Linked DNA regions of Yarrowia lipolytica. The protein of the gene in region 1 purifies or fractionates together with the protein of each later gene. This does not show direct contact. Links are inferred from orthologs where the notes say so. Each region holds a gene or a part of one and is shown on either strand. Other genes may lie near its edges.

Region 1 (3,316 bases):
GTCATTTTGTACTTTTATAAGAGAGACGAGAAGCGAGATTGTCTGCGAAACGGAATTCTGCTGGTGAATGATAATGAAGATAATGGCGACAAAACTGGCAAGGGAGTCGTTATTGAGGGTCTTTCTGAGAGCTTTGATGAAGATACTGGAGTTGCGAAGAAGCTTGAAGTCGAAAAGATCAGAGAAGCCAGTGTTAGTGACGAAAATGTCAGCAACCTGTCGTTGGTGGTTATTTGATGGTACAGTGATTTGATGGTAGAGTAATTTGATGGTATAGTAGCTACTGTACAGTATGTATAATTGATCTGGTTTGCTACAATGTTTATGACAACAGACCTTTGTCACTACGAGTATGTACAGTACTCGCAAGATTTCTGTCTGTTTTCAAATTCATCATCTTATTAGCCTCATGGCTCACTATATACAAATCTGTACTCTTTTGGGTGTCCGGTATTTACCTGGTCGTCGATAGGATGGAGTCCACTCGCGACCAAAGGCCATTCATTAGCGCTTAAGATCGTCCCTGATGCTTCTCCTTTCCAATGAAAGGAAAGTTGAAAGCCGACAGCAACGCTCGGGCCTCGGAATCAGCCTGGGCGGTGGTGTGGATGGTGATGTGCATTCCGTACATCTGCAGGTAGGCGTCCTGGTTGGCCTCGACCTCGGGGAAGTTCTTGACGTCCTCAGGGATCAGACCAAAGGCGATGTTTCCGTTTCTATCTCCAGACGAATTTCGAATTCCGTTGAATCCAATGGCTCGAGGCAGAACCAGCTCTGTCAACGAGGTCATAAAGTCGGAAATCTTCTCGCCGGTAATCTCCACTTTGGCGCCCATGGGGTAGCCCTTTCGGAGCTTCCAGGTCATGATATTAGACCGGGACCGGACTTCCTTAGCAGCACAGCCGGTGATCTGCTGCAGCAGGAGTTTCTGGTTGATCACCTTCTCGTGGTCAAGAACAGTGCCGGGGTCTGTGCAGTTGATGGTGATCTTGGTGATGGCAGGGATGTTCTTCCAGGTTCGAGGGTGCACGTCCTTGGTGGGGGTCTTGTTGGGACCTCGAGGGGGCTGAGCAGGTCGTCCAAGATGGTAGGGCGAAGTGAAGTCCCATGGTCGGTGCTTATTTCCCTTTCGCACGGACTGTTCGTGGACATAGCCCATCAGCAGCATGTCTGACGCGACCGTGTTGTTGTAGTGGTCGACAACCCGGTCAACACGGGTGTTCTTGGGCACATACTTGTTGGACTCAATCGATCCAGGGTGGGTCAAAAGAGTCTTGGTGAAAGCCGGCTTGAGAATGTTCTTTTTGTATCTGTAAAGATGGTGAACCGGCGGCTTGATCGAGATCTTGGCGCCTCGAGACACGGCCGCAGAGGCGTGGAAGGAGCGGGTGAAGACCACGGACATTGTGAGTTGTGAGGGTCGTGATGTGTAACGCAGCACAAGAAGGTGAGTGAAAATTATTGACTTTGGGAGTTAGTAAGCAGGGATGAAAAACGCAAGTGATTATCCGTAAAAAAAGGCGTGGGTACTAGTTAGTAGTAATCAACCGACATGGGCTTTGTATTGGTAACATCATTGACTTCTAATATAGAAAATTTCCCGAACAAAACTACCCGGTCTAGAATATACACAGAATTAGCAATTTGGCGTGAATATTTGGGTCTGCCTTGAAAATCTCTCCAGAACTCGGGGAAAAATAGGAAAACACATAAACAGTCGAATAGCAGTCTGTATATGGTGAAATTCTTTGTAATATCCCTTCTTTATCTCCTGTTTTGGCGCAGTAATGATGTCCACTAGTAAGTACCAAATATACGCCTACATGACTTTTTGGCGTGCACATTCTTGTCCGGTGATTACAATGCAGTATTGGAGTTGTGTTTTGGGCTTGATAAGGAAGACTGTGAAGTGGGATGTGGGTGGGCGGTTAATTAGTAATCAAAGAGGTCGTTAGTTAGTCATCTTACAGTCATAGATTATGTAAAATATCACGTGACGTCTATGATCCAGTTGATGTTACTCTCATTTCAATCGCACTGTTTCTAGTATCGTTTCAAGACACATTGCTTCACCCTCCATACAGCTCGGTCTGCATATTCTAAGTTGCATGTATCAAAAAAGTATAGCCGACTGAATCCATCAAGACACATCCAGGACCATGAAATTCAGCCCATTGAGACCGGCGGTGTTGACGCGGATTCCGAATTTCGAAGACGGATACGACCCGCTATGGGACGATGAGGAGCTGTCGCAGGAAATCAGTCAGTACGAGATGTCTCTGGAGGAAGAAGGCACACCCAGTAAGCCTCCTCGGAAGACTCCTTCTCAGTCGAGATTTGCAACGGAGTACAGTGCCTCGAACAGTCCGACTCGGCCGACGAAACCGGCAGTGTCATCTCCTTTGAAGCAGGAGCACAGAGACGAGACTCAGGACGTCAAAGAAGACTCATATCGCTCTATCCACGATCTGTCTTGTGCAGAGTGGGAGGGTACATTGAACCGGGTGTCACTTATCCTTGATCAATGTCATCTGAGTCCCGTTGGAAATTTCAAGCGGGGTCATAGACGGGGTTCCAGTGTTAACAGTGTGTCTCTGGGTTCCCCGGTCGACCCTGCGGCTGCCATTGATTGGGGAGCTCCTTTAGCTCAGGTCGAGAAGGAACTCCAACATGTGGAGGACGTGTGGGCGTCTGAGGAGCTCAAACGACACAATGACGTGGCTCGACGGGAGTCTGTGTTTATGTCTCGGATGGGAGACGATCGGCTCAAGCAATCTGATGAGCTGGCCAAGAAGCGGGAAAAGAGAAACAGCGTGATTGTGGGCGGGTTGGTTGATCAATGGGAGGCTGAGAGACGGGAAGAAGAGCGGCAAAGGCTGGAGGCCGAGAGGAAGGAGCGTGAGAGGATTGAGCGTGAGAGAGTGGAGGCTGAGAGGAAGGAAAAAGAACGACTTGCGAAAGAGAAGGAGGAAGCTGAGAGACTCGAACAGGAACGACTTGCGAAAGAAAAGGCCGAAAAGGAGGCGGCCGAGAAAAAGAGAATCGAAGCCGAACGTTTGGCCAAGGAAAAAGCAGAGAAGGAAGAAAAGGAACGTCTGGAAGCGGAAGAACAAGCCAGAAAGGACAAACTGGGCCAGTTTACAAACTGGAGAGCGGTCGATAAGGAATTCCTCCAGTGGAAGGCCAAAATTGAACAAATCAAGAAGGACATCAAGGAACCGGTGGCCAACAATGCCGAAGTCAAGAAATTGTGCAATAAATGCAAGCGCCAAATCAACCCCAAGTTCGGACAGCTCACGCCTTCAGTTACACACAC
Region 2 (3,594 bases), on another chromosome or scaffold:
TCACTGCAAATCAATACTTTATATCTGCAGACCTGAAGGATGAAGTCAAACGTATGTATCAAAACTCCAACTGGCGGAAAATGTAGTTAGACTGCCTGACAAGGTCCTGGAACTGCTCTTCATCAAACGATGGAGAATAGTGTTTGTTGGTGAAGAGCTCGGGACTAGGTGCAGGAATGACAACACATTCCTTGTACGACTCTCCACATCGATATGCCGTGTCTTCGTTGGTGTTGGGAGCCCTGGTTTGCTCTGTCAGAGCCATAAGGGGGTCGTCGACAATATGAAAGGAGCCCTTGGATATATAACAAACGGCTGAGCGAATTTGTCCCTCAGAATGGAAACTAGCGGTTTGTCACCCTTGCCAAAGCTTTCCATTCAACTGTTCTTGAGCAACGTGGTATTAGATAAAACACGATAAAAGAAACAAGTCTAATGCTTGGTTTTGACAATGATCTGGAAGAGTACCGACACTCCTACTTGTGTTGTACAGTATATCAAGTTATTGAATCTTCTCAATAGCCAGACGCCCTCTTACTCGCCATCTTTCTCATCACTCCCGTACCGAGACTCATGTTCCAATAATTACTTGGATGGACAGTTCCTTGTCATCGAAAGCATCGAAAGCTGCTTGAGGCGATGAGCTTTTTGTTTGCCTGATCTCGGTCTGAAAAAGATCGCAGTGTTGTATTGAACCGAGATATTCTATCTGGTATGCTCATATTCGGTATCCATCTTCGTACTTGTACATTTGATATTCCTGGATAGAAAAGATAAACTATTATGTAAATATTTAACTGGGACACTGTTCAGAATCGCCACAACTAACTGCTGCTATCGCGGCCATAGTACAAGCAACCAATAACTGCACATACTGTAGGAGTACATACATACCAGTGTAGTGGATATATCATGACCAAATGTCGATAACCCCCAGAAAAAACTACCACTGTGTGTCTAATCGTATACGTACGTACCCTTGCCGTTGCTCATCTAAATCTGCGATACCCCCCATGAGACGTCTTCGGATCTCATTCTGGTCGTTATCTTGTCCTTACACTGTAATTAGTGCGTTCGACAGAAAGCGTGAACGGCCCGAGCAATACGCTTGTGCGGTTTATTTTCTCGTGTGTGTGGAATATTATCTCGTGTGACAGAGAAGATACCATTGGTTTTACTATGTCGTTCAATCAAATGGTTCTGTACATCACGAGTAAGTCAAGGCTATTAATTTGTAGGAGGAGACTTCTGAGATAGAACTACAAGTATGTATCTTGTATTACCGCCGATGTTGTTATAACCAGATATATTAATGGCAATGGGTAAGGATACACCAGTGCATTGTTCAGGGCAGTTGTCCACACTGGTGCATTCGCTGGAGCCATCGTTGTGTGAGTGTCTCGAAATCCTCAGCCACTCTCTTCAACAGCATCTCTTCAACTAACCCTAACTACTTTATCAACTAACCATAACTACTTTCTCAACTAACCCCAACTACATGCTTAACTAACGAGTTATGCGTGCCGATCTAGTATACGCACTCCAAGTAGAATTCACGACGCCAAACATTCCAATTGGGTCTCAACTAAATCACCCAAATATCGGTACCCCTTCCCTAAGCTCTACAATCATGTTTGATGGCCCGTCATCTCGAAAGCCCTTGCTGCTCCTCTAAGTTTGTCAATCTACGCCCCTTGCACCGTCTACCCAGTGTCATCCGAAAATAAACTTTTCCACTGCACGTGACGTGAAAATTAGCATTGAACCATTGTAGAGAGTCCCAACAGTGCACGCAGAAATCGCTGAAAACCCACACACTCTTCAGAACCACAATGCTGCGACTTTCAGGAGTTAAGTCCGCGGTCCGTGCCCGGGCTGCCGCCGGCGCTGCCTTCTCTGTGTCCCTTTCGGGCCCCCAGGCCGTGTCTCTTTTGGCCTTGCCTCTCGTGCGACATGCCACCAAGCGAGCTGGAGGAGGTAAGACCAACCTCAAGGACTCTATTGGTCGACGACTGGGTGTCAAGGCCACCGAGGGAACCTATGTCCAGCCCTCGGACATCATCTACCGACAGCGAGGAACCAAGTTTTACCCTGGCGAGAACACATGGATCGGTCGAGATCACACCATCTACGCCAAGGAGCCTGGATACGTGCGATTCTACTATGATCCGTTCCACCCCACCCGTCGTTTCGTCGGCGTCGGTCTGACCCCTGAAGCCCGACTTCCCACCGACCACATGGCTCCCCGAGCTCGACGGTTTGGCCGAAATGTGATTTCCGACCCCAAGAGAGCCGAGGCCGAGCTCGCATGGAGACCCAACAAGGAGCAGCAGCTGCTGGAGGAGATTTCCGAGCGTCGGGCCGTCAAGCAGGCTGAGGAGCAGGCCCTCACCGACAAGCTGGCTGCCAAGCTCAAGGAGCTGGGCTTCGATAACAGTGAGCTGGCTGCTCGAGCCCAAAAGATGGCCCACTACCGAACTCTGGGATGGACCAACGCTGAGGCTGCTCGGTTTGCCGACGCCTTTCTCAACACTTCTTCTGACGTCAAGGACTTTGATGCCAAGTTTGAGGTCACCAAGTTTGGAACCGTGGTGCCCAAGAGCAGCCCCGAGACCGTGGAGAAGGAGCTCAACGAGACCCGAGACAAGCTGACCAAGGTGCGACAGCCCAACGCGTTCATCTCGCTCTCTCAGATCGCCAAAATCGACAAGATCCTCGACGCCACTGTCTACCTGAGCCAGAGCCAGAAGGAGCAGCTGGCCGACGAGTTCAAGGTCACCGCATCGCTTCTGGAGGCCGTGCAGCCCCACGAGGAGGTGGTCAAGGCCGCCAAGAAGGGCAAAGGCAAGCTGGTCAAGGTCTACAACGTCCAGCGAAAGGGTATTGACTATGTTCTTGCCCCCAAGGACGCCCACTTTTCCGAGGACATTGCCTTCCAGAAGGAGTTTGTTCACTAATTGTATATAGCTAGTAGTAGCAGAAGTTGCAGTGCGTTTGCATGATGAAAATGAAGTTGTTTTGAAAAATTATGTGGGTAACGTACAAGTAGCTGACTTTTGACCCTATCTTACGAGTGAGTGCATTGTATATGTTGCGCAACGGTTACATCTCTGATCAAAAGAAGAACCTGGGTTTAGGCAGTCATATCTTGTTATTGCCAGGTCACGAACATGCCGGTAGCTAACATACAGTGCCCTATTTACCGTTCCTACACTCATAATCACATACAAGAAGTACGTGGTGTAGTTAGACAGTGCGCAATGCTATTGGTATGCTCCTGTTTCTATGTCACTATCCCTCGTCGCTTACGGCAACGACTCCTCGTTTTTAGGGTCGAGCTTCTGGGCCTGTGATTGGGCCTCCAGATCTGCTACAAACTTCTGGGCCTCCTCGTTGCCCTCCATGACATATCGTAGACAAACCACTCCTCGTTCTTTCAAAAACGGATTGTTGGCGTCAATGTTGCAGCAGTTGAGAATTTCAGGGAGACCTCCTGCCTTCCAGATGAGACTCTGCACCATTGCCAGCTGCTGTTTCGAAGTAGCAGATGCAATTTGAAGAATGGAAGACAGAAGCTCAATAGTGGCACTCTTG

Evidence for each region.
Region 2: the proteins of YALI1_B02881g (region 1) and YALI1_D15333g purify together in Saccharomyces cerevisiae (affinity purification with mass spectrometry; 3 studies listed by BioGRID, with this or other methods). This does not show direct contact. The link is inferred for Yarrowia lipolytica from reciprocal best matches to the Saccharomyces cerevisiae genes MRPL7 and MRP7.

Annotation. Positions count from the first base shown.
Region 1 is NC_090771.1:286,257-289,572, reverse strand, and holds YALI1_B02881g (mitochondrial 54S ribosomal protein uL5m), read right to left. Parts: upstream 1,406-3,316; coding exon 512-1,405; downstream 1-511. Other genes in the region: YALI1_B02910g (uncharacterized protein), read left to right, coding at 1-237; YALI1_B02874g (uncharacterized protein), read left to right, coding at 2,160-3,316.
Region 2 is NC_090773.1:1,531,505-1,535,098, forward strand, and holds YALI1_D15333g (mitochondrial 54S ribosomal protein bL27m), read left to right. Parts: upstream 1-1,832; coding exon 1,833-2,957; downstream 2,958-3,594. Other genes in the region: YALI1_D15345g (uncharacterized protein), read right to left, coding at 2,968-3,062, 3,107-3,218; YALI1_D15362g (uncharacterized protein), read right to left, coding at 3,306-3,594. UniProt on the Saccharomyces cerevisiae protein: Component of the mitochondrial ribosome (mitoribosome), a dedicated translation machinery responsible for the synthesis of mitochondrial genome-encoded proteins, including at least some of the essential transmembrane subunits of the mitochondrial respiratory chain.